Linked DNA regions of Struthio camelus. The protein of the gene in region 3 purifies or fractionates together with the protein of the main gene of each other region. This does not show direct contact. Links are inferred from orthologs where the notes say so. Each region holds a gene or a part of one and is shown on either strand. Other genes may lie near its edges. The genes, in order: BUD23, NAP1L4 and UBE2O.

Region 1 (10,224 bases), on a different chromosome or scaffold from region 3:
GGAGGAACAATCCCAGGAAAGTTCAGGTAACATTTCCCCCCTTCAACTTGGAAGAGGGTATGCCTGGCCCTCAAGAGACGCAAACCTTCATAAGATCTAGCTACCTGCCTGCTGGCAGGGGAGAAGCTGGTAGTAAAGCAGGTGCTGTTTTTCCACCTTCATCTCCCACTCCCTGTACTGAGGCCAGGACACACGAGAGTAGCAACAACCGTAACGCATTGACTGTTTAGTGAGGAGGCTGGGTACAATGTCCTAGCTCACCTGGAGCTCCAGACAGCTTGCTGCCATCTCAAGAAGGTAAGCAATGGCCTGGGACAAAGTGGCCAAAGCACTGTCCATCACTCTGCCTTCCCTGGGAAAAAAGGCCTAGAAGTTTAGCAATTGAAGGATAGGCAGCACCTGCCAGCCTTCACCCCACAAGGGCCGCAAGAACCTGTCCTGGCCGGTCTTGCGTCCAGGGGTGCTAATCTGCGCCATCCACAGGAGGCTCACTGTGGGGGCCAACACTCCATCTTCTGTTCCAGCAGTGTCCGTAACAATTCAGAAGTGAGGGCGGCGCTTTCGACCTGTATATTTCGTGTCTGCTCGCACTTCCCTGTGAAGAAAAGTGCAGAGCACTGAGTGCAATCCACAGCTCATTCTTGGAGGGGAAGGAAAGCTGGCTCATAGCAGAGGAGTTTGAATGGGTGACAGTGGGCCAGACCAGCACAGCCAGCCAGAGCTTCAGCTGAGGCAGGACCTGGCTGAACTTACTTGCCCTGCCGTCGTCTGCGCTCCTTCTTCTCAAGGATCCAGTCCCGGCTTTTCTTTACAGACTTGCCCTTGACGTTTCTGAACCGTGTCCTACAGAGACAACAAACAGGAGCTGAGCAGGAACTGAGGTGGGAGAAACACACTCTTGCAGCCTGGAGGATTCCCATTCACAACTCATCTTGTCCTCTGCTCTGTAGGAATAGTGACAACTCACAACCCATTCCTCCAGAGGATGGGAAGAAGCAGCTGGAACAGGTGGCCAACAAACAGCCCAGCTCCAGATACACAGGCAAATGGCAGCAGTGCAGGTACTAAGCTGCTGCTAGCACCAGCTCTGAGCAAAGGGCATCTGTCCTCCACAGGCTGCAGCATGCTAGGCTCTGGGATCTCTGGGGAACATGGGCTTAGCGCAGCTGCCTTTCCCTTGTCCGCTCTAGTCTGAACAAGCAGATGAAGCATCTAGCTTCTGAACAAGTTGCCAGTTCTGCCCTTCCCCTCCAAGCCCAGGTACCCCCCAGACCAGAGGGGGTAGAGCAGAGCAGAGCACTGTAAGAGGCAGGAAAACATGGCAGCCACCAACTCCTGGCAGCCACGACGACTTTCCTCTAGCTTTTGTTCCGTCTCTCCCACTGGCTGCAAGGGGAGTGCTTCCCTGCACCACTGTCATGGGAAGAGACCTGGCCAGCAAGAGAAAAAACCCCAGGCCACAGCTCACAACAGTCTGACAGTGAAGAATTTGACAGTGGAAGGAAGGGAACGCTGGGCTTCAGGCACACGAGCCTGCTTCCTTGACAAAAAAGCAATGGTTGGCCACTGTAGACACTCCTCATCCCACCACCACATGCCTACGCTCCAGCACTGAGCTGGCAAGCTGAGTGCTGGACAGAAAGCACACCTCAGACTGAACGCTTAGCTGCAGTTCCAATAGGAACACCATGATTCAGTCACACAATGCCAAGGCTGAGCTCTCCAGTCAAACTAGACAGGCTCGTGTCTGGGGCCCTTCAATGTCATAAAGCACTGCCCCTCCAGGCTGCTAAGGATCCTCCTAGGGCCCCTAGTCCCTTCCCTTCAGCCATTTCACAGTGGCAGTACCCTCGTCCTCACTCAGCAAAACCCAGCCCCTATGCAGCCCCTACACTTCTTCCTTGGGGAGAGGATATACCACTCCGCCCCACACAATACCTTTCATTTGTGAACTTTGCCTGGTGTATCTCTTCATCAGCACACTCAGTACCAAGGCCCTGAAAAGCAAAACCAACAAGTTTCTCATCTGGAGCAGACAGAGCTAATGGTCACTGCCATCTAAATAGAAGAGAACGCAGGGGACAGACTGGGACGGGAGCAAACTGATCTTCCAGCAATTGTCACAAGGAAACTGGACCTTGGGGAGGGCAAGGGCTGGTGAGACCAACAGCAAGCACATGAATAAAGTCATGTTTGCATGTGTCTGGCTCCCACTCTGTGAATTCCCTTTACCCACAGCTCTTCCATATCGCCCAGCAGCCAGGAATCACAGAATCACAAAATGGCCAAGGTTGGAAGGGACCTCTGGAGATCATCTAGTCCAACCCTCCTGCTCAAGCAGGGTCATTGAGAGCACATTGCCCAGGATCGTGTCCAGGTGGGTTTTGAATATCTCCAGGGAAGGAGACTGCACAACCTCTCTGGGCAACCTGTTCCAGTGCTCAGGATCCTTAGGGGAGAGGGGATGCATCTCCACTGCCTGGCGGAGCACCTCACCTTTGGTAACGTGCTGGATGCCCCAACAAAGAGACAGAGGAAGAACCTGAAAGAGCAAGAATGAGAAGAGCAGCATGAAGCCAGGATTCAGCATGTGATTCCGAGTCTCCAAACAAAACTAGATCACATGTAACAGAGTCAGATCTAAGCTGTCACCTCTGCCCAGGACAGGGACATGGAAGAGAGAAAAACAGCTTGGAAAAAATCAATGCTGGACCTAGGGCTCACACCCCCAAAACCCCATACAAAACAGAACAGGACTCACTTCTTAGCTTTGGCACTGTTGGGGTAATCTACCACCATTCCCCCAGTAAAGCCAGCCCTCATGGCTTGGGCTGTGATGAGCTCCAGCTAGAAAAGGAAGCATGTACAGAAGTTATTGAGCCGTCATCCAGCGGTGATGCACAAGACACCTCCGGGCTCAGCGCCAACTAACAGCGCACCCTAAGAAGGGGTTGTCCCGCTCCTGTAACAACCCCTACATCAAACCCCTAGCTCTCCAGTATGACTCAGACACAGTCTGCAGCATTTATTTTGTCTCTCCCCGCTCCTTAGTCTAGCTTGGTCTAACTGAAACAGCAGAATCTCTAGGAGGGCAACGCTGGGCTGGACTATCCAGCCCTGGGGAGTTATGGTGCAGCATATATAACTAGAGCCTAGCTTTCAACCCCAGTCACACAAGGGAAAGTTCAGCACAGCAAATTCAGATCATGTCCTGCCAACTCATTTGATTTTAAGGCTTAGCACAAGGCAGTCTGTGAAGCAATGGGAATTGTGTGGGGCATTCTGCTTATGGGTCTTTTTTTGGCTCCCTGCAGAGCTTTACTGTTGGCAAGAAGGAACGAGAAATACACTACACTTCAGGAAAAATGACAAATTCTGAGCCTCAAACAGCAAATAGCTCCTCTCCCTGGCTCTGCCCATCCCTCCTCCCCAATGACTGACATCCTGTACCTGTTCTGAGTTCTCAGGGTACAGCTGCAGGACAGCTCGGGATCCTCGGGCCTACAGGAAAGAAAGTCACAAACCTATCTCAGTACAGGCTTCCCCCCAAGGAATCCAATTCCCAGCCCAGATATAAGCATCCACCTCACCCAAAACCTGCTGGACCCAAAGTCCCAGGTGAGCTGCTCAGCCTGCAGAGCCAGCTTCTTGCTAGCACAGCAAGGCACAGGGCTAACAGTGCTGATGCAGGGAGCAGGGAATAGGGAAATGAGGGACACCATGCAGGCAGGAAAGGAGATGGGAAGCAGATACTCCTGTTGGTCCTAGATTTCAGTAACTTGGACTTGCAAAATGTCTTGCTAAAATGCACTAGTGAGGATGTAAAAGTAGCTAGATGCCTGGCTGAGACAGCACAGCACTTACCAAGGCAGTATAAAGAGTTGAAAAGAACTGATAAAGGCGTTTTGGAGGACTGTGTGACTTCTTATCAGCATTACAAAGCCATTGCACTGCAGAAATACTAAGACAAAACATGAGACCTCCAGGACACTGAGCCATCAATTCTTTAGCAAAGCCTGTCCCCTCCCTTCAAACTTTTTTCAGCATCGAGCATTTGCTGGGCCTGGCCAGCCCCAGTTCATTTCATTTTCTTCATATAGTTTGCCTTCTATTTTGCAGTAAAGGTGCTACATAAATCTCTCTGGAGACTCACTGAGTCATGCCAAAACCCAAAAAAACACAGTAGCGATTCAAGCCCAACAGAAACGTCAAGCATCTCTTTTAGGTCAGATGCTCAAATAACTGAAGTGCTTGGCTGTGACCCTGATTCACACAAACAGCTCATGCACATTTTGCCAGTGAGCAGTCCCAAACAGAGCATTCAGTTAGGTAACAGAAGGTCTCTACTCCATCCCATCATTTTTATGGGGTATTCTCTAAACAGAAAAGTGTTTCTTTTTCCTCCACCTAGCCCCTCATCCCAAAACGAACCATCAAAACTTTCGTCCACTGACTGACCTCATAGATGAGCATGGTACAAATATACTTTATATTTTTCTCCTAGCAGCAGGTCTCACACCTCCAGACACAATCCCCTATTTTATTTATCTCAGTAAGCTTTCCTAGCCCATCACCACAAGAAAAGACAAGCATCAGCGGGGAACAGCTGCTGGAAGCTGCTTCTACAATCCAGAATCTCAGCAGCTTGTTCCAGAGAGCTGGAGCCAAGTCACATGGAACAAGAAGAGCAACTGATAAAAAAGACGCGTACTCCGGTATGCATGACACGTAGTTTTTGTATACTGTGCAGAATAGGTAGCACAGCTACACAAAGTACCAAAAGAGCTCAGTTATGTGCACAAACTCACCTGATGCAGCCATCAAATATGCCTGGCCTGAAGGGAATGCCATGGCCCACATCTGCAAGGAGAAGGTCTCCTTCCACCTCCCTCTCCAGGGCTACGTCTGTACAGAACAAAGGACAACTCAGGGTACGAGCTCACACCTTTGCAGAACACCTCTGGTGGCACAGAAGGCTGCAGGGCAGAGGGTCTACCTACCCAGCATAGCAGAGCTGATGTCCATGCCAATCCAGTAGTGCCCCTCTTCAGAGATGTAATCACCACTCAGCCCAGAGCCACAGCTAAAGGGAGAAAGGGGTAACAACACAGAGACAACCAGCCCCAACCAAGGGCAATCCCCATCACCTACATGGTCACAGTAACCTGCCCCTCCTTCCCAGACCACAGTGGAGAGAAACCAGGGTCACAGGACCAGGATGACTCTCGCATCCAGGCACCATCCCCTGCTACGGTGCCCACGGGCCAAGCCCCCGTGTGCCCGACCGTGTAGCCGGTGACCCCGCGGCGGCAGGGTCGCCCCTCTCACCCCACGTCCAGCAGGAGGCACGGCCGGTCCTCGGGCAGCCCCAGCAGCTCCACAGCCCGCTCTGACATCTGCGACTGGATCTCCACCACGCGGGAGCTGCAAGGCGCGGCGGGGAGGAGGGGTGTCACTGGGGGGGGTTACGAGGCCAGACGAGCCCCGGGCTCACGGCACAAGGCCCCGGCCGGGGCCAGACAGCCGCGGAACCGCCAGGCCCCGCGCGTCCCGGAGGCGCCTTACTTCTGCGTGTACTTTCGGGCCTCAGCCTCGTCGTAGAACTGCAGGAGATGAGAGAGTCAGCGAGGCTGAAGTGCGCCCGCGCCCGCGCCCGCGCCCGCGCCGCCTCACCAGCTCGGGCGGCCCGCGGTGCTCGGGCCGCCGCCCGCTGCCCGCCATGCTGCCTCCCTGACGTCACCGCCCGGCGCCTGGCGTCGCGCCGCGCGCGTCACGCCGCACCGCTCCTCCCCTCCCGCCCCCCGCGGCGATTGCCGGCGGCGCGGGGGCCGCCATGGTGCCGGCGGCGCTGGGCTGCCGTCTGCGGCGCCTCCTGCCCGCTGCGGCGGGGGCCCCGCGGCCCGGCCGCGCCGTCGCGCAGTTCCACGGCGGGCAGGGGCGCGACGGCGCCCCGCGGCCACGCCGCGACCTCTACGAGCTGTTGGGTGTCCCGGCTACGGCCACGCAGGCGCAGATCAAGGCGGCCTATTACGAGCAGTCGTTCCGGTACCACCCGGACCGCAACGCGGGCAGCGCCGAGGCGGCCCAGCGCTTCACCGCCATCAGCGAGGCCTACCTGGTGCTGGGCAGCGCTGCGCTGCGCCGCAAGTACGACCGCGGCGTCCTCAGCCGCGAGGACCTGCAGGGGGCCGCCAAGCCCTCGGGCCGTCCGCCGCCGCCCGCCCCGGCACCGCCGCCGCGCGCCTCCAGCACGGCCGCCGGCCGCCGAGGCCGCGTGCCGCCGCCCTTCGACTTTGACGCCTTCTACCGCGCGCACTACGGGGCGCAGCTGGAGCGGGAGCAGGCGCTGCGGGCCCGCCGTGAGCAGCTGCGCCTCCGCCGCGAGGAGGCCGCAGCCCGCGGCCGCCTCCACCTCCTGCCTGACCTCTCTGTTGGGCTCATCTTCTTCCTGGGGTTCGCCCTGCTCTATGGTTTCAAGTAGTGGCGGGGCCGGCCCCCGCAGAGAGTGCTGGGGAGCTGCCAGGCTGCCAGCCGGCTGCACCGCCCTGGCAGGCATGGAGTGCAACTGCTGGGCAAGGTACGCCAACTGTGAGCTGTCCCCTCTGCCAACGTGATTGGCGGGTGGGGTGCGTGACTGGCAGCCATGTGTAGTCTCTGCTCTGCAGGCTGTGACGTTTCCTCTCCACAGTGTGATGGACACAGTGCGTGGCCAGCAGGCACTGTACATGGGCTCTGCTCTACAGGCTGTGATGTGTCCCCTCTGCCAGTGTGACCTTCAGACACCAGGTGTGATCAGCGGGCAGCGAGTGGCTGTGATGTGTCCATTCCACCAGTGACCTTCAGACAACGTGTGTGACCAGCAGGTACCACACATGGGTTCTACTCTATGAGCTGTGATGTGCCCCTTCTGCTGGCAAGACCTGCAGAAACAGTGCAAGGTACACAAACGTGGTTCATGGACTCTGCTTCACAGACTGTGACTATATTCCCTCCTCTGGTGCTGCTGTCTGACCCTGGCAGGAACCATGCACCTACACTCCTGAGCTGCAGCGGAGATTAAATGGTTGCCAACAGCGTTTGTATGCTGTGTGTTTTCATAGGTGATGCTCTCGCTCATGCAGAGTAATGGCTCCCTGTGGTTTTCCAGAAATCTCTCACTGAGTCCTGCTGCCTCCATGCTTTCATACTTGTTACCACATCTATGGGGAGTTTCAGGAGTGTTGGTCTCCAGACTGCGTCATTGCTCTTATCTGTCCCACTTCGGAGCTTCACTCCCTAGTGAGTGTGGAGGTCTCATGTTCAGCTGTCATTCATGGAAGAGTGAAACTTGGGCTAGTGGCTGCCCATGTCCTGGTCAGCATGTGACAACACCTGCTTCTCCTTGGAGATGCTGCCTGCTGCCTTGGAGATGCAGTTCAGAATAGCCTGTCCTGTCTGGGGCTTGACAGGAACTTTGCACAAGACCATCTTATACAGGCCTTAATGGCTTGGAGTGGTACATTTCTGGGTACAGAATGACATTATTTGTGTTTTACATGTGTTTAAGCATCCTTTGCACTTAGAGTATTTGCCTGTTTAAGCAGTGAAGTGCTTTAGGAACTAAAGATTGTGTTCTTAGAGCCTCTGTCTCTCCTTGGGTGAAGGCTTCACCTATGTTATGTTTGTATTACATGGAGTGAGTGAAAGCTTGCTGTAACATAGAACTGCAAGTCTTAGTGTGCCAAAGACTTCACATGCATTTATTTGCACTGGATTTTCTGGGCCTGTCTGGCAGATGGCTGCACAGAAGTCAAGCTGCCGTCTCTCACTGCAGTGATCCTGGGTTGTGTTTTCTCCCAGCACAGGCATGTTAAAAACAAATGCCTTGTGTACTACAGCTGGTGAGTTCTGTGATATTGCCACAAGCTTAAGGCGGTAGCATAGCAGAGCATGTAGTACCTACTGGTATAGAGTATGTGCTGGTATATAGCTGGTATAGGAGAGTTTTCAGCTGGGTTCTTGAGAGCTGCTTCTGGAAAGAATTGCTCCATTTTCAAATACAGGCTCCAGAGCAAAATTAGTCCGGGGCGGAAAGAGAGCTTTCCAGGATCCCCTCTGGTTGTCCGTTTACCCCTGTATGAGGTAACATAGATTCTAGTCTTGAAATGTCAGCTTGTGAAGAGCACTTGGAGTCTGGCATTTTAGTGTGTTGGGCATGGGGGGGGGGGGGAAAAACTCTGGAATTGCGGCTCTGTGTCACTCAGTGGTGCTCTTTCATGCTGTAAGCGAAGTCACTTGAAAGATCAGAGGCTGCTCCCCAGACAGGGTTTGGCAGGTAACGTTCTCTTCCAGGCTGGAAGAGCTAGGGAAGTCCATGGGAAGTGGTATGCATTACATGGGAACACCTGTCTGGCCTGTGTATTTTTAAGGCAGCCCTGCCAAAGGCTGGGGGGGTGGGGAGGACGGGGTGATGTATGTCCCCTGATCTTTCTTTAATCTGTATATAGTGATGAGGACCAGAAGGTGTAGGCTGTAACTGCAGCCCACCAGGACTCCAGCAAGAAATCTAGTTGCTTTCTAGGGAGCCACCAGGCTCCCAAACCCAGCCGCAAGTCTGCTGCCAGGCAAAGAGAGGGTCTGGTGTCCTGCAGTGGCAGGATGCTGTGGTGTTCCCCTCTTGAACGGGAGCAGGAGGAAACATGGCTAGCTGCTGTGCTTCCTGCATTGCTCTGCTCCTTAACTCTGAGAAAGGAGATGAGCTGCTCCAGTAAGCCAGCTGACTCTCCTGCTCTGTGTCTGATGCTTGTGTCTGAAATGTGGGGGGTCAAATACCGAGACTGAACTAATCTGCGTGCCTTAGAATGGATGATTTGGACAATGCAGTATTGCTGGTTCTTCCTCAGGTCTCCCTGACAGATCTTGAACATTAAAGTTACCCATCTCATAAACTGGTGATGAAATGACACATCTCTTTCTTCTGGTGGGCTTGGGTGGTACATTTCTTTATAATTCCTGGAAACTGGAGGGTGGGCGACAGGCTAGCATTTTCATATGGTGACTGCAGCAGGATGAGGAAGATGGGGGATTCCTGTCTGTTCCAAGGGCCTATTGGGGAAGATGGACATGCTGCTTGCAGTCAGTGGGAAACATGAGCCTCCCCAATCCTTTGCATACTTCATTCCTGCCAGCTGCAGACCTGCACTGTGCCTCTTCTAACATACCTGGGTTGCTTTGCAGTTCTGAAGCACCCACTGTGCTCACCGCCTTCTCTGGGAAGGAGCGAGCAAATGCTGCAGACAAGGTTTAGTTTTCTTGTGGAATTTGGTAGGAGAAGAGGTAGGCGCAGCATGCAGGGCATGGAGGGATCCTTTGAGGCATGCAGTCTGTCACTCAGGGTGTTACGGTGTACTTCCATGCTGATCAGGCCTGTGTACTTAGCTTTTCCAGGAAGGATTTCAGAAGCTCAGACGGGTAGTGGCTGGAGCTAGTCCAAATTCCTAGACTTAATTTCTCCCCAGCATACAAAGTTTCTACCCTTTTGTTTTCTTATGTCTATACTGTCGTCTGGTTTAATAGTTACTCTCTTTCCCTGATGGAGAGGTGCCAAAAGCGACTAGATTTCTTTCTGTTTTCCTTTAGCCAGGTGAGAGCAGTCCTTATGGGGTGACTATGGCACAAGCGCTAGAGGAAATCCAACTGAGTCTAACCATGACAGCAGTGGTATAATGGCAGGGGACTGTGTGAGCTTTACAAGCCCACCAGGAGCTAAACCTCAAAGGGAAAAAGGAGAGGAAATTACGGCAAGAGCAGGAATGATAGGATGTGTAAAACTTGCTGCACAGTGTCCTCCTCCGTATTTAAACCCCATGTTCCACCTCTCCTGTGGCAGTGATCATAGTACTGTTGACAAGAATTCACTATTCACTGCACATGTTGGTGGGATGCTGAGCAACGGGGGAGGGTTACAGAGCTGTCTTCAGACAGGGAGAAAGCCAGGGCAGATCATCGAGAGCCATAGGGAGTTCACTCTTCCTCACACTCTCCTAAGGACAACAGCGAAAGATCCTTGGGGATGCTGAGCCACAGAAGGTTGTTTCTTTAAAACATGGAGCCCATCTCCTACATTCTGGAAAAGGGCAGCTTTCCCTGCTGCTTCCCTGCAGGGTTATATGGTGATTGACACTGGTCTCCCAGGCACGCCTAGGCTGCATGCAAAGGCCTGGGGCAGCTCCCCTGTGTGTGTGC
Region 2 (10,224 bases), on a different chromosome or scaffold from region 3:
CATCTGTGAGTTGACAGGCCTAAGCATTGTCTATTTAGAAAGTTCAGTGCACACAAAGAGGTAACTCCAGTAGAGAGTTACCTCTTGCTGCTAAAATGCTTTACCTTGATGCATAGACAAACAGGAAATGACTTCATTCTCTCCAAACAAGATGAGACTTTTGCCCAAGTATGGAGTTCCTTTTTCCAAAAGCAGCAAGTGAATCAGAAAACAATGACCTTGGCGAAGAATCAGAAAAACAGATTTTGTCTCGTGGAGTTTGTATCAAAACACAAGCTCCAAAACTACTTCAGATCAGTTATTTTGATTCTCTAGGCAGCCACAGTTTAGCAAAAAATAATAGCATGTGCAGTGTCCCAGCAAAGGAAAGCTTGTTAGCAAACAAAGGAATGCTGCAAGCAGGTTTAGATATACACTGTTTAAGCAGACTTTCTGGAAGTAGGTGGGTCAACTGATCTATGCAGTCATTGAAATGCACAACACAATACCTCTTCCCTAGCAATCCATCAAGGTGTCACTTAAATGAATTCCACTGCACTGGCTTAGTGAGAGTGACTTGGCAGCCAGAAAAACAGAATGCAACAGCAATGGTCTGCATTCAATGTCTTCGTCGCCTGTCTCAGTAAAGAAAAGGGAAAGGACAGGCTCTAGTGTATTCTAAAACTTGTGATTAGATAGATAATGTGTATATGTACATATACACACACTGAAGGAATCAAATGTGGAATATGAATTTCTAAGCATTAAGAAAATAATCCCAATAGCAATGAAGTGTTGGATTTTTAAAAATATTTTCTGGAACATACGTGCACAGCTTGTTTTGATCTGTAGAAAATGAAGCTTTCTATTTTCCCACAGGGTTTTCTGGTTATCTCTGAGATTCTTTTCATGATTACTGTAATTTTTCTCAGTAACAATCAAGATAGCCACTGCGTTTTTGGGGGCCAATAAACCGTCTTTTTTTTAAGCTGCCATCTTTTGGGACGTGCAAGTATTACTGTCTCTTCCTGGGTGAATTCTGTCATTCAGCTGGGCATCAACAAGTGATTTTGAGCGTTCAGCTCAAAGCTTTGTTAAATAAATCTGATCTCTGGATGGGGAAGAAGCTTCCATGTTTTATGATCATGCAGGTATAAACTTACATGTCACAACGCTGAGACCTCTTCAGACTCATAGGTCACTTCTAAAACAGTATCTTTCTTTAACCTCTAAAACCACTCGATGTTTGTGACAAGAGAGCATATGACAGCAAACAGTTCAAATTAAGGGGAAATTGCAAAGCTGGTAGCTGGTATCTCAAATAATCTCTCCTCTCGCCCTCCCAAAAACTACTGCCTGCTTTGTTCAAATCTTAAATGTATTTTACAATTACTGAATTCTTTTGGGGAGGCAAGGGAGGGAGCGATACTAACGTCTGACTAGAGCACTGCAGCCTCAGCATTCTTTGAAGTTGCTTTCAAGTTATTTTTAACGTTACTTAAGTTAACTGCAAGTCGGAACGATTATGGCTTTTCCACGATTCATTTTGTAAGTGTGTTTTTTTAAAGTTTCCCATAGCCTCACATTAAAAGCATGCGGTACCTTTCTTCCCAATACATATTTAGTAATACTTACTTAGCAGTATCTCCATGTTGTGCTTATGCACCTACACTGGAATAAGCGTAAGGTAACACAGTGCTTTATTTGACACCTGTTTCCCATATAACAAACTAACACAGCTGTTTATGTTCTCTCTCTCTCTCTCTCTCTGAAGTCCAAAAATCCAAATCTCTCTTTGGGCTTCCTTTGTTGATGATGGAAGTCTATTAAAAAATCAAAAGCATTAATGCTCAAGGACATCACTGTTTTGGAGGTAAAGATTTATTTTATGGTGGCACCAGTGACCTGCGGATTATAGACTGCTGCATCCTCATCAGCCTAAACCTTTCAGCAGGATACAAATGTACAATTTGTTGCTGCAATAACCAAATTTTGCTGATGTATTTAATATTGCTCAAACAGCAGTCAGGCACCAATAGCACAAAACTGCCTATTGTCAAGATAATTTGAAACATTATCCCACAAGGATCTCTCTAGTCCTCCTCAAAAACTGCTTCTTACCAGCATAGTGTATAGGAACAAAGTAATCTCAAATATGTATGCGCTAACACTAGGCTACACCTCTGAACGCTGAAGATTGTGCCAATCTGGGTGTTGTCAGGAGGAAGTACTCGGCTAAGTTGGTAAGCCTGTCAGGGCTTCCTTTGCTTGTAACCTCGAGGGGACAAACACTGGATAGAAGCTGACATGAGAAGAAAGACTACCATCAAAGAATTTATCCACAGGCAGCAAGGCAAGGTAAAATAGTGTGGTGTTTCTTGGTTTTAACTGCATCCTTTCTGTGAAGTGCTGAAGGCCAAACTTGGAAGCAGCAAATACAGCTTCTGTGTTTTGCTCAGCATGCCTTTCAGCCTTTTGAGAGCTGTGAATACTGCTGCACTAATAAGAACAAGTTCCTCCATGCAGCTTCCAAACACAGTACTCCCATCACTCAGTTTGTTCAGATACTGGTAGAAAAATGTGTGAATTATCTGATCCGATCTTATTACCACCAGTCTTCATTCTTTACAAAGACTTTAAAGTCCCTAATTACATTGAAGATATTCTTTTTGATCTCTTTTTCCTAATGTTTATATTCGCTTTCCACCTTTCTGGGAACCCACAGATGCATTTTAAATGCGCCGATCAGCAAATCTCGGCCACATACAATATACCTGCAGCTTCTTTATCTATATTTTAAACTACGCTTTAACACTTTAAGGTGGTGGAGCTTGTTGGATCCACTTGAGCTCCCTCCTTTAAGATTACACAATTTCTGCTGCACAAATATGGAAAGGAACTTTTGCTCCTCTTGGTGATTTCGCAGGACATTTTCTATGCAGGCCACTGTAGCACTTGCATATTTCTCATCTCTCCTGACATAGGACAAATTAATTAAGAAGTGTATTAGCTATTTAGTACCAAGCCTCCACTTAGCAATGATCAAAGCACTTCTTGTCCCTGAAGAGTCATAGACAAACCAAATCTTATCTCTCAAAATGGGTTGTGAATGTCTGGCATGTCATTCAGTGAAACGGGTTTGCATTAATGCCCACCCAAGGGCAGAACACACAGCGCTCTCTCTCAGTGCCAGTCACAGATCTCAGCCTAAGCTTTCTCTCTAAAAACAGGTGTGTCAAGTGTATAGCAGCTCTGCCATCATCCCTTCTGTTTCTGTTTTGGTTCTCCAAGCTCTCCTGTCTGCTAGCCTGGGCGTTTAAATCAAGCCAGGGTGATTCAGCAAAAATCTTTTTGCAGCTCTGGCTCTCTGCAGGGCAGGAGCACCTGACAGCAAGATGACTCCACAGATTGTGCCTCGGCCACAGTCCTAAAGTCTGCCATCATGCTGCAAGAGGTTAGACACCAGTCAGCAAAAATCCCTCCTTGATCATGGAGGATTTATGCCTTTGGATTTAAAGTAATTTAAATGTATTTTACTTCAACATGAACGAAGAGAGAAAATACTTCCAGCACTCTGGCCTGTTTCAAGGCTTTCATAACTGGTCCAGAAGAAAGCAAATCTCTTTCTACAAGACCATCTGAGATATAATTTAATTCAGGGTTTGCAGCATTTATGAGAATAACTACATTAGCAAGAGAGGCACTAGCGCAGAGGCAGAAACTGCCCATCCCGCCACAGAGGCTGCAGTATTGCAACTAATAATCTGAACAGGGCTGCAATGTGATCCTGCAATAGCAGGAACGAGCAGCTACATCATGTACTCAAGCAAAGCTTGCTAAATCTTCATATGGCACAGTAGCTGACTCCAAACTTCTTTTGGGGAGCAAGGGAGAAATAGCTTTTAACAAATAGAGGTTAACAAACAAACCCAAAAACCCTGACAGAATACTTGACAGCTATGTATGAATCAGCAGCAAGAACAAAAATTTCAAGTATGAATAATTTCAGAAAAATCCTCCTTTCAGAGTTCATTATGGTCTCTTATGGACAAGTGACAATTAAGCGTAACTTAGTGATCATGAATGGAGTTGTCCCAAAATAAAGGTAATGAAAGCAAGAAGAGGCCGTTAACTTTTTGAAGTTCGGAGAAAGATTGGTTTGGATGGACAAGGAGAGAAGGCGGGAGCAAACCTTAGACCTGCCGCTGAGCCTGTCCTTGAGCTGGCCAAATCTGCTTGCTTGTGCTACTGACTCCCCAAAATTCCTGCAATACTTTAGCTGTTTGAGTAATTACTTTTTTTCTTTTATTATTGGTACCTGCTTTTAACTGATGATGCACTCATTAGTCCTGCCATTAAGTTCCTGCAATAACTGAATTAATCTAGTGTTAATGTAGTGATTGGTTGTTAATTGTTAAACATCAGTCCCATAATTTCAATGTTTCATCAGTGAAATGACTGTGACGATTAACCCTGGAAATTAATTACTGAAATCCAAGACTACGTTAGTAGACCTGTAGGAAATCTTTTTTTTTTTTTTGTTTTGAATAAGGAATCTAGTGATTCAGTAAAGGGTTAAATGCTTTTTCCTATTGAGTGAGGGGATTATTCATATGAACTCCAAGTGGCTCCAAACGCTAAAACCGCCTTGTTCTCAAGAGGACATTACAGGGCATCTGTTGCTCACGCATCCCCATACAAACACCGGCCTTTTGTTGTTGGTGGGTTTTTTTTCCCTCTCCTCTCTTCCTCAGGAGAGGGAATTACACCCGTACCTAGCCTTAGAAACAAAGCCCGAAAGCTTAAACATCTTTAAACGGGTGCTCCACCTGAAGCACCAGACAGGGCCTGTTCTTCCTCACAGGAAGCGCCGCGCCCGTTACCCAACGCCCACCCGCCGCCATTTTGCCCCGCCCCTGCCTCTGTCCCTTTAAGGACACGAGCCGCCCTGTCCCCCCTCTCCCCCCCCCCCGCGCGTCACGCGCTCTCTCCGCGCGCCGCCAGCTCCGCGCGCACCTTTCCCCAAGCGCGCCCCCCCCACCCCCGGTGCCCGGCGCTGCCGCGTTCGCCCTCTGATTGGCTGAGCGCCGCGCCGTCGGATAGTCAACATGGCCCGCGTGCGGCGCGGCGGCCACCGCTGCGCCAGGGCCAATCAGCGGCGCCTTTACTGAGGGAGGCGCCCGCGCCTCGGCCAATGGGAGGGGGCTTTCTTGGCGGCGGCGCAGCCCGAGTGCGCCTGAGAGGAGCCTGGCGGCTGGCGCTGCTGCCTCTGCGGGCGTGAGGGGACGCGGGGCGCGGGCAGGTGAGGCGCGGCGGGGCCGCGGCGCCGCCCTCTCGGCCCCCGGGCGGGCGGAGGTCGGCGGGACCCGCGGAGGAGTCCGCGCTGGCCGCCGCGACCGCAGCGCGGGGCCGGGGCGCGCGTGCGGCGGCCGTTGGGGCCTGCTCGGGGTGGGGCTCGGCCGGCGGAGGGGCCGCCTGGAGGCGCCTGGCGGAGAGGGGCGGGCCCGGCCCAGTCAGGCACCATTTTAAGGCTGGCTTGGGGAGTTTGGGCCGGGGGAAGGGGATGTCCTGCCCGCTGTGAGGCTGGCAGCGGGAGAGGGAGCGTGTCCGGCCGCATGTATGGCTGCCCTCGCCCTCCCCGGGGAGCCTGGCAGCGCGCCCTCCCTTCCCCCGCCCTCCCGAGGGAAGTGGGGGAGGAAGAGGGTGGGAGGGCTGTTGTCTGTGGTGAACTCTCTTTTCTCCGTCTCTCTCACCGCGCAGTGCTCGGATTGAGTCAAACCCTTAGCTGCCTCGAGTCAGGCGCGATCCTTTCATTTGACCTCATCGATGATCTTGCGTTTCCTCAGCCTGCTACGGGGTTTCTGGGGTTCAGTTTTTCATTTCCATGTCCCACCTCCCTCTCCGAAAGTGAGCGGTTTTTTTTTTTTTTTCCAAGTTTTCGCTGCTACTACGATCGTTTTCCACACATGATAGGAGTGTATATGGGATCTGCCAGAGTCGGTTCCTGTAAAATCTGCTTATGAGGCCCCAATATTGAAAGGTACAGGAGCAAGTATGCAAGTTATAGATGAAGGTGGAATCAGTAGGCAAGTTTATGTAAAGTCATCTCTAACTGAAATAGTGTTTCCTCAAGAAAGTTTCGAAGACAAGTTTAAGTACTGCTAATGTTCAGGGCTTGTGGAACAGGTTAATAAGTTTCTTTTGGCTTTTTTTTTCTTCTTAATTATGGCTTCTAATTTCCCATGCAAAAAGTATAAGACTGTTTGTGGCTTCCCACAGAGTTGCATCCCAACAGCTCTAAAACGGAAGTCATAACTTTCTTCTCTCGTTTGTTGTAGTTACGGAAAGCAGTAACAGTTATGGCTAGAAGTCTTTCTGTGCCTTTAGAAGCCCGTTATTGACTTGCTTTGTTATCTGGCTCTGTTTTGAAGATCTGCACAGCAAGAAATAAGCTTTTTTTTTTTTTTTTTTTTTTAGCAGAGAGAGCTTATTTTCCATATTTTAATCTATTTGTGAATGTCTCTTGCTTTTAAATGTACAGGCCTTTTTAAAGCTGTATCTTTCAGGCTTTTACATGTCCTTTTAATGAAGTTTTGGTATCTTGGAGTACTGGGAGCGTGCATCATTCTGAGTTTCCATTTTTCTGCTCTTTTAGGTGACTAGTGCTATATGACGTTTGTGCCAGATAAATTTCAATTGCAGCAGCCGGCTTTGTGGGACAAGTGGTTGGTGTGCTCTCCTCCTCCCACAGAGCTTCACATTTGTAATACTTATTTGAAAACAGTGAACTGTCCAGAGGAAATGAGATACAAATTTGGGTTTCTTACTGATGGTGGCAGCGATAATGATAATACCTTACACTATCCTTCTGAATTTTTGGTTATTCTTTGAATGTCTTTATTGCCTACAAACTCAGAAAGTTAACTAAGGCAATAAATATGAAGGGTTGATGCTCTGCTTCTGTACAGTTTCAAGCAGATGTGCATTTAAATTTGTCTCCCTGAAGTCACCTTGCTCTTCCCTCCCTTCCCTTGCCCTGGCTTTTATAGAACAGTTTTAATAGTAAGTCTGTAGCAGCTGAGTTATTGGAAGGTACCTCTGTAAAGCTGCTGGGGTTCACAGGGTGTGTTTGTCTTTTAAAACTTTATTTATTTATTTCAGGGAAGTTTCTTATCACTTCTATTCATGTAATTCTCTTCACTTTCAGTTACTGGGGGAACAACTTTGAGGAAACAAACAAGACTTGAAGCATGTATTTGCACCAGGGAATGGTGTCTTACCAGTTTTTCATTCCCAATCCTTAGGTGAATGGCCTGTAACAGAACATGGCAATTTCATGTCTGTTCCAGTAGAATTTAATTCAGCTGCCATTTAAAAGTTATTCAAGTTATGGCAACTTTATTCCATGTTTTCTTAACATGAGGGAGAATCTTGTCTTCCTCCACAGGGTTGAGAAATAGTTACCTGCAGGAAATGTAGTACAAATCTTCTGTTCATTTATTTGTACGTGAAGTGGAATTTTTCCATTAGCTCTGTTTCTGGGTCTGATTTGGAAGGCATGAGTCTTCCAGGCTAATTTCTCAGTAATGCGTGTCTACGTTTTTTAGTTGCTTGCTATTGCTTCCTCTAATAGTGACTAGGATCATATAACTTGTTGGCTGAACTCAGGTATTAGGTCAATTTACCATCTCTTACCTTTTTAATCGTAACTTCTTTTTTTTTTTTTTCTGCCTTTGGTCAGCTATGGAAGGAAAAACTGATGTGTATGCTTTTTATTCCTTCAACTGTAAGATAGTAAAGTTCTTTCCTTTTACTTTGGAAGGTGATTGCTTGCATTGTCACTTTCTCTTGTTATGCTTAAAGCAAGAATTACTGTTTGCAAGTAAATATGCCTGGGTTGCTGAAACACCTGGTCTACAATAAGACCCTTATTTTTTCCCGGACTTCATCTGTAGCATGGAGATGATGATAGGGTGGACTCATAGGCTTTTTGATGGGTGTCAGGCAGCTTCCCCCCTTGTAGAATAATCTAAAATATACTCCCAGTACTGCTGTAAATGAGCAAAACTTTTCAGCCCTGTATAAGTGGTTATAAAAATGATAATTTTTTTTTTCTAGCCTGGAACAAGAATCAGTGTTGTGCAGCTGGCAGAGTGCATGGATTCTCTGACCCCCTGTTTTGACTGCCACTCAAGATGTCATTAGGGCTTACATTCCTCTGAGGTGGCTGTCTGTTGGAAGCTGAGCTGAAGATCAGCCTGCTTTGCCTTTATAGACTCTTAAGAAGTCAGACCTGTTTACTCGTATGAATGATGGAAGGTTGTCTTTATTCTTAAGCATGACTTGCAGAGTGACATCTGCTTTCTTGAGAGCGTGGTAAAGGTGCATAATATCGCCTATACTTCTGTACAGTTTGTAGTGATTACTTGGATTTACCATGAACTGTGTCTAGAATGCACAGAAGTACCATATTACTAGAATAGATTTATGAGCTTGTATATTTCACCACTGATAACAGCTAAAGAAATAACAGCAAAGTAAATTGGGCAATCTGACTCTGTTTTCTCAGGAGAGCTAATTTAAATCTTGGGGTGGGGTAGGATAGCTAGATTAAACTTGGTTCCAACCATTGCTATTACTAAGGCTTTAACTTTCCTGTTTCCTGTTTGTTTTCTCACTCCCAGTAAATTCAAGCCAAATTTTAATGTAGAGAGCTCTTTCTTCTTAGCTGCTGATAAAAACGCTCCTCTTGGTAAAGACAGTGCAGAAACAGCTACTCACAAAAATAGACCCAATTAGACAGCAGGTGAGGCATGTTTTTTCTGCCTAGGTGACATGAGAAAAGTCTTTCTGAAGTTGTTGTAATGCACTTTCATCATTTCCGTATCAGGCATAGTAATATGCACAGATTAAAAATTCAGCGTTTGCTGTGATGGTGTGTAGGAGTAAGGGAATAGAATATTTTTTTCTTTTATTTTTCTTTCTTTCTTTTTTTTTTTTTTTTTGGAACACAGATGCAGTCTAGGAAACTCTGTGAGACTTGTTTCAGTGTAGGATGAAGACTTGTTTTATGCACTGGTAGGAACAGATTATAGGCTGGATTCCTTAACGATAAAATGAGTTTTAAAAGGGTTAGATGAAAGCTCCTAGCAGGCTGTTTTAAAAACTACCAGCAGGTTTCCAGCTGGATGGGATATATATGGTAACTATTCACTTTATTGCAAGAGATCATGCACAATGACTTTTTTTAGCAAAACCAGCAGCTCTTAATTTATCTTAAACTTCTAAACAGTAACCTTTTATTTTCATCTTCTGCTGAGGTAAACAGATTACTGTTAAGGTCTTTTTTAAAAACTATATTTCAACTTGCAGGTGGATACAGGCATACAGATGGCAGATAACAGGTATGTTGGACTATATTTTCTTGAAATTAAATTTATGTAGCTATACCCCAGCCAGTGGGGTATATTTACTAATAGGCTAAGGAAGTAATAACAAGCGTGCCAAAGGCATAGTTTTGTTTTCTAGTTTGTAAGCGTTTTTAGAATAAATAGCAAGTTTAAAAAAAAAAATACTATTATCTGTTTAACTTGCTGTTTGTGGTACTGCAGTAGTCCCTTTCAAGGGACTGCACAGGAGTAAGTTGAATAACTTAGTCTGGTAACTAGTAATATCCATTTGCGTATGTGATAATTGCTTCTCCTTTTGTATCTGAGTTAAGATTCATTTTAGCAATTCCTAACCTATGTTCTGTGACGTGTGAACTGGCTGGAAATATGGGAATACTTACTGACTGCTGACTCTTTTGGGGTCTGTCTTCCTCCAGCAGAGGAAATACAATGGAAGATATGTGGGGGGGGAGAGAGGGAGCATCTCTTCCTAGAGTAAAGTGGATGTTTTTACTGTTAATCAAAACAATTTGGTATAGAAATTGTAGTCAAAGAACTCTGATCTTACTTGTTGATCTTGACACAAAAAATCATGTCTTTTAGTGGTATGCATCTTTATAAATCTTGCCCTGTAATAAACACTGAAAATTCAGAATGTTTCTATGCTTAAATATTACACTTTTACGAAGTGATTTCTTTCAGTATGTTTAATTTCTAATTCTTTTAGTAAAGCAGAAGATACTGCTTCAGATTCTGTGGAGGCTGCTAAAAATGCAAGTGACAAAAAAGGTAAGGAATAAATAGCAGTAGGTAACAGTGCAAGGGTGGGGTAACCCCATTGCCTTGTATATTCAAG
Region 3 (10,224 bases):
GTATACTACTTAGCACTCAGGAGACTTCCATACTGCATGTTGCACAGGATGCCATTTTTGCAATAAAAACACTAGCGATGATCCCCAAGCCTATAATGCAAGAGTCAAACAAATCAAAGTCCTTAGCCTGCAAAACAAAAAGGGGAATCAAGTTAAGGGAAAGTAGCCTTGCAGTGACTAGCCAAAGGATTGAATGGTTACCCTTTAAAGTGATTCTGTCTTGCGTAGAACTGCAAAAATTCCAGTAAGCCTTTTCTCTCCTCCTGTCCTTAACAGCTATGAAAGTCAAATGGTTTCAAAAAAAACCCCTGAGAGACTAACTGAAATGTCAGAAGCAAGAAGAGGGTTAGATATAGCTTCCTCACGCAATAAAAAAAAAAACAGTATTAATAGTTTACGGGCATTGAATTTGCGTGTTTCACTACAGTTCTGAACTGTGATCAGCATGTACTCATGGCTCCTGAAAAGGACTCATACTTGTGCAAGCTAGAACCATCCATCTTTACCTGCTGGAATTTAAGCACTCAACGCCACTGCATTTCTAGGCAGAGAACACATTGGTGCAGTTTGAAGATGAAAGATTTTTGTAAGGCTTTCAGTGTTTCCATCCCTTAGTCACAAAGAGGTACCACATTCTGTAGCTGCGATTAACATCTGTACAGCCCACATTAGTGTCCTAACTAGAGGAGAAAAACTTTTAAAAAAATAAAAAGAAGAAGAAAAAAACCTAACAGAGATAACCAGCACTTCACAGTATCAGACCACCTGTATCAGTTACAGTTCCTAGTTGGGATCCCAGAGGTGAGGGTTGACAGTGGCTGCAAAGGGACACAGAAGGGAAAATGCCAATCATCACTGAAAAGGAAGTATTTCCTTCTACCATAATATAAGCACAGAAAAAAAATCACAACTTAGAAGTTTAGGTCAAAATATTAATGATAGAGCTCAGAAGAAAAAATACAATATACACAAGAGTCTTGAAATTATGTGGAAATAATGTCTTCAGAAAGTTACATCCATGACTCAATACTTGAGGTTAAGAAATTATAGCAATGAACAGTGGGAAGGAACAGAAGGGTTGTGTGGGATGAAGCAGAGTTGAATTCATAGAGAGACTTGGAGAGATAACATCAGACAATTTCCAGCTAATAAACTGATCAGCTACTGAATTATGTCTGAAGTGCCCTGATAGTTTGAATCTGTTTCCAGGGCAAACCTGAATGGAGTAGAGAGCCATCCAAACCAAGCTGTATTCTGAACTGCGCAAAAACAAAGCAAAAGATTGCTAAAAACGTCCAGCATGTTTGGGCCTTGACTCTTACAGCAATCCTGCGTCCCTACTTGTTCCCTACATGTAAATCAATCAACTCCACTCCTGATACAGAACAGCATTACACCAAGATACTAGCATAAGTATTTCACTCCCAGAGGCATACAAAAGAGCACAAGACGGGGAATTCAGCAGTCTGGCCTGTTGCAGGCCTTTAGATAAGGTGCTGAAATATAACACCTGCACTTTTGTTTTCCTCATACGCAGAACAAGCATATCTGCCTTACACAGGCTTTGTGAGCATTCAAGTTGGTCGAGAACTCTGAGGCTTTCTGATGAGCCAGAGAGAGGAAGACTAGCAGCATTTCAAGGCACTCTCTAAGCCTTACTCATATTTAACACGGTCAAGCATATTTTTTAATTTCCCAAAGGCAGCACAAGTATGCAGTAAGAGTATTAACTTACAGCTGAGAAATTTGGAAATTAAATCTCAGTTGGGTCTCAAATATTACTGCTACTTTGTTAGAAAAGCATCACAAGTTCACACCAATTATCAATATTCTCACAACTTTTGAGTGAAAATTACATCTAGCATACAAACAGTAATATGAAAACAAGAGAGATGGCTTTAACCAGAGGGACTGCTCTTCCGATTCGGTTGCCTGACAGGATGGGAGTTAGACAGGACATAGATGGCAAACGTATTTGGATAGGAAAGGCTTCTCCCAGAACTGCTTGGGTTTTGCATTATTTAGCAACAATGACTTTCCAGTGTTTTGAAAAAGGAAAGCAGTCATGGACAGCAGGAAAGGAGCACACAGAGCCAGAGGATAAGAAATCCTGGCTCTTTTCATTCACATCATTCTCATGATAGTGCTAATGACTATCAACATGGGAATCAAAGGCAGGAATGTGCTCGGATAAACTACTTATTCAGTTGGAAGAGTTCGTGGGCCTTTGTACCAAACGCTTGTCCTATTTCAAGAGAAAGTTTCTATTACTTATTAACATCAGTAATTGTGTGCTGGGGTTTAAGCGGCAGTTTGCCTACCATTTCCAACAGGAAAGAACAAAGGTAAGCATAGAACATCTAGGAAAAACAGTAAAAAGGATTAGCCTATATAGTACCTGGCAGGGAAAAAAAAAAGTTTTAACCCACAAAGTTCAAGCAAAACACAAGAAATCTCTAGGGTTATAATCCAGTTTTTCTGGTTATAAACAACTGCATTTAACCTTTGCACTGGAAGCTGAAGGTACTCTTTCACTGTCCTCAAAATTTGCAACAACTTTGTTTCTCCCCTTCCTCAGTTACAACACATGCTCTTACCAATAAACCTGCCAGGGTTCATAGATCTTTAAGCGCTTGACAAAGAAGGATCCACATGAGAGAGACAGGCACACAAGCGTTTCACATGGGAAAGAAAAATTACCGTACAGAACAGGTATACAATTGTGCAAGATGAGGCTAGCAAGAGCCCTGACCCCAGGGCTACCTTTATCCTCTGACCATTACAGAATTAAGATCGCAGGGAAATGAAAGGTACCTTCAAAGAAACGGAATAGGTACTCTCTTGAATCCAGGGGCTGACTGTGACCAAGACAGTGAGGTTAACATAATAAAGACATCAAATAGAATTCCACAGCTAAAGATGCTGGAGAGTTAGAGGCCTGGCCAAAATAATTATGGTTGGCAACAACATTCTAAAAATTAACAAACTTTAGGCCCAGGACAACCACGTGGTCCTTATGGTTCGTACCCCTCCCAGCTCGGACAACAACAAGCATGTCAGCTTACCTGGCTGGTTCACCCATTAGTATAACGTGAAAGGGCTGGGTTAGAGGAAAGCTAAAAAACCCAGCTATAACCATGAAATGAGAAGTTCTGCAGCGCCTTTCCAGTGGCGTCAGATTTGTTTTTAGTAACCCTAAACTGCAGCGCAGATTGTACACAATGCCTATCCATTTTGTCAGCGGGCAGCTTTTTAAATGGAAAAAAATCAATATGACGGGAGTACACCTAAATTCCTTAGGCACTTAGGGAACTTTTCCCCAGGGGCTATTACCTGAATGGTAAAGCTGCCTACATCAGAGGGATATGACTTTGAAAAGGAAAGAAAGAGGACCATTTATTTACATAATTGCCTTTAACTTCTGATCCTCTGCAGTCTAGCTTTTTCTAATGTTGCGCAGGGTACAGTTAGCAAGTGACTAAAGTCAGAGCTAACACTTCCGAATTTGGGAATCCAGTAACAACTCCTAAGTCCATGTTTAATCACTCAAGTTGAAGTGGCCTCATTTAGAGGCTGAAAACACTCAACTTTGGACATATGTTGATGTAACAGCACACAAAGATTTTATTTGAAGGCTACAGTGATTGAATTGCGGCTCTAGGGAAAGAAGGTTTTTCTTAATGTAGAAATACGTAATGTGGAAATATATTTTCTTGATACCTTGCTTTCATTTTTCTCATCTCCTTACTGGTCACATGCCTAGTGACACTATCACCTAAATTTAGCTCATTCTGGTAGCGTGGGCAATCCTACCAATTTCGGTAGGAGCACAGCACACCTTTCTCTCCGTTTCCTCCTTTCAAAAATCAAGCAGAATGCTAAACAGCAGAGCAGATGGCATACCAGGAGACTCCTGCTTTTAGTTGCCACCCCAGAACAGCGCTCTGACTCGCTCTACTGCAAGGACAGCGCAGGCCTTCTGTTTTGTTCAGTGCAACGCCCATCCCTCGCAGGCCCCTTTGTGTTATATTACAGTGCCCCCTCTCTCTCTTTTGTCTCCTCTGTACTGCCAGTCACTCTGTGCAAAATCTGGCACCAGAATAACTTTGGGAAGTGGCAACGTTCTAACCCAGGCCTAAGAAGTGCCCTGAACCCTGTGGCTCTCTGGATGTAATTAAAAGGTCACAGATTTACCTAGGCCTCATCAAGAGAGGTAAACGTTCATGTAAACAAGGGCAAATCCAAACCACGGTTGCCCACCACTGGGATTTCAGCTAGTCACGATTACTCCGTTTAGCTGTTGGCTCCCCTACAACAGGCTACCATGATGCTGTCCACCGAAGAGACACTGGAGCACATTCCCAGCAAGTAAGAGAGGGTCGGAGAGCTTGCCTCTACTAGGAACTAGCTCAAATCCCCGACTGCACTTCCTCTAGTGCCATTAAAATCCAGTGCCTGGGAGAAACGGCTACGTTTCGACACCGGTGAAGCGCAGGAGCAGCGTTCACTCCAGGCAGGAGGCGAGGAGGATTCACTCCAGCATGACGAAAGACGGGAAACAGATTTCAGCCTCTGGAGGACACAGTCCACCTCCGGCGCTCAGACGCAGCACGCAGCCAGCGGCGGCACTTCTGGCAGGCGAGAGCGGAGGGATAACCACGAGAAGGAGCCGCAGGCCGGCTCCGCGGCCGGGCAGAGCCGCGCAGGCCCCTGCCCCACGAGGCCTCCGGCGCGGGCCGCGTGGGACGGACAAGGCCCCGCGACCGCGCGCCGAACCGGCGAGAACCGGCGGGGAGGCCGCAAAGGCGGCGGGGGGGGGGGGGGGGGACAGGGCGCGCCGCCGCCGCCGCCCGCCCGAGCAGGGGCCGGGGCCGGGGCGAGCCGTTACCTTGGTCTCCTTGACGTGCTGCTTGATGCCCTCCGGGTACCACTGCACCCGCACGTAGCCCCGCCGCAGCGGGCTGGCGCGGCCTTCCTCGGCGCCGCCGGCCCCGGGGCCGCCCGACTCGGAGCCGCCCGAGCTGGCGGCGCCGCCGCCGGTGCCGCGGCCGCCCTCCTCCTCCTCCGAGTCGGAGTCCTCGCCGTGGATGAGGCGCACCAGGCCGAACCGCACCGAGCCGCGGTAGCGGCCCGACACCAGGTCGTGCGAGAAGAGGAGGCGCTGCGAGCCGCCCGGCGGGGCCGGCGCGGGCAGGGGCAGCGCGGCGGGAGCCGGGGCCGGGGCGGCGGGGGCCGGGGCCGCCTCAGCGGGCTGGTCCGCCATGGCGCCGGGCAGAGCGGGGAGAGCGCGCGGCCGCCGGCGCAGGCTGGGGGAGGGGAGGGGAGGGCGGGGGGCGGGGCGGGCGGCGCGCGGGCCCCGCGCATGTAACGGCCCGGGGGCGGGGCCCGACCGCGTCGCCCCGCCCACCGCCAGGCCCCGCCCACCGCGGCGCCGGGCCTGCGCGGGGGGGGGAGAGGGAGGGCTGAGGGGAGGGGCCTGAGGGGAGGGAGGGCTGAGGGGAGAGGGGTGGAGGGAGGAGTGGGCTGAGGGGAGGGAGGGCTGAGGGGAGAGGGGTGGAGGAAGGAGGGGTCTGAGGGGAGGGAGGGCTGAGAGGAGAGGGATGGAGGGAGGAGGGGGCTGAGGGGAGGGAGGGCTGAGGGGAGAGGGATGGAGGGAGGGGAGGGCTGAGGAGAAGGGCCTGAGGGGAAGGAGGGGTGAGAGGGAGGGATGGAGGGAGGAGAGGGCTGAGGAGAGGGGCCTGAGGGGAAGGAGGGGTGAGAGGGAGGGATGGAGGGAGGAGAGGGCTGAGGAGAGGGGCCTGAGGGGAGGGAGGGATGGAGGGAGGAGAGGGCTGAGGAGAGGGGCCTGAGGGGAGGGAGGGGTGAGAGGGAGGGATGGAGGGAGGAGAGGGCTGAGGAGAGGGGCCTGAGGGGAGGGAGGGGTGAGGGGAGAGGGATGGAGGGAGGAGTGGGCTGAGGGGAGAGGGGTGGAGGAAGGAGGGGAGGAAGGAGAGGACTGCGGAGAGAGGGCTGAGAGGAGGAAGGAAGGAGGGCAGAGGAGAGCCAGGGATGAGGAAAGGGAGAGAGGGAGGAGGGAAGAGAGAGGGATTGAGGGAAGAGGGATGGGGAGGGCCCGAGGATGGAGGCAGGAGAAGGGGTGAGGGAGAGAGGGGAGGAGGAGCCGGGGCGGGGGAGGAAGCCCAGGGGGCAGAGAGGAGGACTCCGGGGAGACGGCTGAAGGCACCAAGGGGGAGCAGCCTCCCGCCGCGGCGCCCCCCGGGGCGGCAGCGACCCTGCGCAGCCGGGCCCGTCTCCTCCTCCCGGCCCGAAGCCCCCGTGCTCCGCCGGCTCCCGCCGCCACCACGGCCTCCCGGCGGGGTTGTTCCCAGGGAATTAGGGGCTGCGGCCGAGTCACAGCGGGAACCGCCCCGCGTTTCGGTAGCCCCCGCGCCCGGGGCCGCGCGACACCCCCAGGACGCCACCTCAGGGTCCGAGTGATATGAATCCCACCCGCCATCTCCTCCCTTCCAGCCTAGACTGGTGCTACCAGTCCGGGAGAGCTTCTGGATCTAGCGCGGCCAAGGGAGCGTGGGGGCGCACGAGGCACGGGCCAGCCTCCTGCCAGGTCCCGCACCAGCAGCCACCATCGAGGTCTGGCCACCTTCCGCGTGAGGGGAAAAAATAAAAAAATTAAAAAATATATGACAGGCATTTGAAGGCAAACTCGGAGACGGGGCGGGAAGAGGCAGGAGCCCGGCCTGGCTGGGCTGCTCGGGGCGCTGCCCCTTGTCATGCGCTCCTCCGGGTGCTGAGGTGCTCTCCAGCTGGCAGGAAAGCACGGCTTGGCTTTTTATGACTCCTAGAAATCCTCGTTACGGTGTGCGAAGGAGCCCAATGTTTGGCTTCGTTGACTCTTGTGGATATTTTCCCTTTTATCGGCAGGGATTTTTGAAATAAAAATAATTTCTTGAGAGGGCCTCGCTACCCGGGCAGGGGAAGGGCGAAGCGCATCCCAAATAGCCTTATTTGCCTGTCCTTTACTCAAAGATATCTTGTCACTTCACTCCATAGATCTCCCCGTCTGTGCAGCGCTGGCTGGAATATCAGGAAAATGCTTGAAATCCTCAGCCTGACTCATTTTATTACCAAAAGAAAACAAGAGCAGCATAGCAGTAATCTCCTCCTTTCACTCCCACAAACCCGAGCCCAGGGCTGGCCTGGCTCTATCCACCAGCTGGCTGTAGTTTCTCCTTCCAGGGTTTCTTCTTTCAGGAAAGGGACCGGAAACACAGCTTTTATTTTTAAAGCAGTTCCTGGATTTTTCCATTGGGTTTCTAGTCCTTCTCTGCCAGGAAACAGCACCCACTAGCTGTGCGAATCCGGAGCCTGGCTGTGCACGGAGCCCTCGCTGCAGCGGGCATCTCCCACGAGGGAGAGGTACTAGGAGCAGGATCACGTTTCCGCTCTGCCCAGCTCCTGAGATGTCCTCCTGCAGCGGTGGGTGCAGGGCACGCTTTCGGGCCGCCTTTGGGATGCTCTCATTGATGGCAGAGGGCAAACTATTCCTGACCTGTCTCCAGAGCAGGGAGCTGCAAGCGTTGCAACAGCTCGCAGTGTCTTCCTCCCTCTGGGTCCTAGGTCAGCATGACCCCCACATCAGGATTTAACAGCCTGCATCATTTTAAACAGAGGGGTGTTTTGCTGGTGTAGTTCCCTAGGGGAGCATTTCTCGGCCTTGACCCCAAGGATAAGGAATAGAACAGAGCTAAAAGAGAATGTTGTCCAGGTGGAAAAATATGGAGAAAGACAGTTTAAATATCTGTTCGACGTAACGTGGTTATACAGCTGTCGATATGGGCAGGATGGGCTTGTGGGAATGCAGATCCCCATCCACAAGCAAGAGAGGGCAGGGACCACTGTGAGGTGAACGAGACGAGGGGTGTAAAATCAGTGCTCAGCACTGTCAAACGCGCCTGTGCCGCCAGCACCATTTCACCCTCCTGTGTCACTCAGTCACAGCTGCGCTGGGGAAGGGTGTGCGGCACATCTCCCAAGGCCTGTATAGACAGCCCTGGCACACCCCCACGCTAGGTGCTGTGGGCCTGGTGCCAGCCTCCCTCCCTGGGAAGTCAGGGACAATTGTGGCCTTTCTCTGTGGGAACAGGATCAGGCCCTTTGGAGGGGTACAAGATGCCCTCTTCTTCCATTTGAATTGGCGTTATGTCCTTCTCATCATTCCACGAAAGGCCTAAAGCACAATGTGTATCCAGCGTGGTGATGTTTCTTATCATCTCCTTAATGTACACAGTAACAGCTGCTTATAAAATATAGATATAGTTAATGGGCGTAAACTTGTGTGTAGATGGAAACTGTCCCTCTTCAGAGCAATTACACGCTGCAGAGCAGCAGCGGGATTTCAGGTAGCCACAAATAGCCATACAAGCAATCACCTTATACAACCAGCCAGGCTCACAGCGTGGGGGGTTTAATGGGGCCAAGGCAGGGCTAGCTGGCTGCTAACAGGAGTCGAGCTGGGTGTGTTTTTGCACTCTGAGCTCAAACAGGGCTCTGATGTGCTCTTGTTCGGAAGTGGCACTGAAGAAAGGCTCGTCTTTTCCTTGGGAGCCAGCAGCCCCTGGCCTGGGCTGCTAACACCACTGAGATGCTTCAGGCGTGACAGTCCTTGGCTAGTGAGCATCTCCCCGTCAAGAAGCTAGGCAGTACTAGCTCTCTGGGGCTGGATCCCACATCTCCGCTGAGGGACCCCAGCAAGTCAGACCACTCTGCAAAATACTAAGGCAACACCAAGAAGCATCCTGCAGTTTTGTGTGTGTGATTTTTTTTTGGAGAACCAACTCGACTCAGCAGGTGGTCTGAACACCCAGCACTTGCGCAAGTGACACATGTCAAGCAGACTCCTCCTTTACGGACAGTTGCTGGTGTTGGACTATTTTAGGAATTGCTGTCACTTACTCTCTTTGCAGCACAGTATCTTCCTTGCGAATAAACTGCCTGGGTAACATCCCTGGCTTACCTGCTTCCACACAGAGAGGTTTGTGAAAAGCAAGCCCTGCCCTTCCTCCTCAGGACCTGGCTGGTGCTGGGTGCAGTGAGATGCATCTCTCACGGGGCATCTTTGCGAGGGCTTTGCGGGCCGAAGGGCTGCCTGGCACCCAGGGGTACCTTCAGGGTGCCCGGGGGTGCCAGGGCTGCAGCAAGGCGCCCGGTCACCTCAGCTGAGGAAAGGCTCTGGTGCCATCTCGTGGGCTGCAGCTCCTCTGCTGCAGGGCTGCAAAGGGGCCCGAGGGAGCAGGCCTGCTGGCTGCCGTGCGTTTTGGGAGAAAGAGGACGACACAGATCTTTATGCATACAAGGAGAACAGGCGTTTACCTGTACATTGCAACCCCTTCGTCCGCAGACAGGGTCTTGTCCGCTGGTTTGGGACGTACAGTGGAACTCCTCACCTAAAAGGCAGGGAGTGTGCTCTCAGCACAGATCTTGACTGTGCAGAAGGAAAACTCCTGCTTGGCCAGTCCTTTCAGATATCTTTAGCTTCTTTTGCTGCTTTCTCAGAGGCACACATGTTTCTATACAGCCCATATCCCATGCTTGAAAGAGCTGGGGTGCAGAATACCAGGACAACCCACCCTCTCCATCCTGTTGCCATTGCCCATTTAGTTTCAAGTTAAGTTTAAAGCTCATTTTTCCCATTGAAATATGTGGTCCCACCTTCATTGTCTTCAGAAGAGCAAGACCAGGCTGATGGACGCTCCTTGCTACAGGAACTCCATTGTGCCCAGCCAAGGGTGAGGACAATTTGTCCATGCCCAGCCTGATCAGCTGGGTTGGGCATGGGGATGTGCTCAACGAGAAGGAGGAAAGGAACCTTCTCCTCCGGCTGTGGATCGGGACCAGGCTGGCTGGCAACCCTAGAGCATCTGGCTGCATAGAGGAGTCCTCAGTGTCCAGGCGAGCCTGGAAAGGTACCAAGGCTGAGTGGCAGGAGACACCTTTGCCCTGTGAGAGGGGCCTCAGGAGGATAGGGGCAGAAGCACCCAGTGCCCCGTGACCGGTTTGCACAAGATTACCTGGCCCTTCCCTCCTTGCTTGTGCTGCCCTGGTCAAACATCTCCATCCCTCCCCACCACTTACAACAAACGGCCTCAGAGTGGCTTTATCTTGCTTATATGTGACTTCATGCAAGCAGGGACTCAAGCTGGCAGTCTTCCTCCGTTCCCACCTCTT

What was found.
Region 1: the proteins of UBE2O (region 3) and BUD23 purify together in Homo sapiens (affinity purification with mass spectrometry; 5 studies listed by BioGRID and IntAct, counting the BioPlex papers as one, with this or other methods). This does not show direct contact. The link is inferred for Struthio camelus from reciprocal best matches to the Homo sapiens genes UBE2O and BUD23.
Region 2: the proteins of UBE2O (region 3) and NAP1L4 purify together in Homo sapiens (affinity purification with mass spectrometry; 3 studies listed by BioGRID, with this or other methods). This does not show direct contact. The link is inferred for Struthio camelus from reciprocal best matches to the Homo sapiens genes UBE2O and NAP1L4.

The regions. Positions count from the first base shown.
Region 1 is NC_090957.1:8,904,671-8,914,894, reverse strand, and holds BUD23 (18S rRNA (guanine-N(7))-methyltransferase), read right to left. Parts: upstream 5,772-10,224; 5' UTR 5,722-5,771; coding exon 5,674-5,721; intron 5,604-5,673; coding exon 5,566-5,603; intron 5,425-5,565; coding exon 5,329-5,424; intron 5,084-5,328; coding exon 5,001-5,083; intron 4,906-5,000; coding exon 4,809-4,905; intron 3,962-4,808; coding exon 3,865-3,961; intron 3,502-3,864; coding exon 3,451-3,501; intron 2,848-3,450; coding exon 2,762-2,847; intron 2,543-2,761; coding exon 2,497-2,542; intron 1,998-2,496; coding exon 1,939-1,997; intron 1,431-1,938; exon of another isoform or gene 1,298-1,430; intron 844-1,297; coding exon 754-843; intron 596-753; coding exon 541-595; 3' UTR 207-540; downstream 1-206. Other genes in the region: DNAJC30 (dnaJ homolog subfamily C member 30, mitochondrial), read left to right, coding at 5,834-6,481.
Region 2 is NC_090946.1:19,201,440-19,211,663, reverse strand, and holds the start of NAP1L4 (nucleosome assembly protein 1-like 4), read left to right. Parts: upstream 1-5,142; 5' UTR 5,143-5,281; intron 5,282-5,436; exon of another isoform or gene 5,437-5,491; intron 5,492-5,519; exon of another isoform or gene 5,520-6,019; intron 6,020-9,351; 5' UTR 9,352-9,369; coding exon 9,370-9,383; intron 9,384-10,095; coding exon 10,096-10,157; intron 10,158-10,224. UniProt on the Homo sapiens protein: Acts as a histone chaperone in nucleosome assembly.
Region 3 is NC_090960.1:9,206,721-9,216,944, forward strand, and holds the start of UBE2O ((E3-independent) E2 ubiquitin-conjugating enzyme), read right to left. Parts: upstream 5,264-10,224; coding exon 4,889-5,263; intron 1-4,888. UniProt on the Homo sapiens protein: E2/E3 hybrid ubiquitin-protein ligase that displays both E2 and E3 ligase activities and mediates monoubiquitination of target proteins. Negatively regulates TRAF6-mediated NF-kappa-B activation independently of its E2 activity.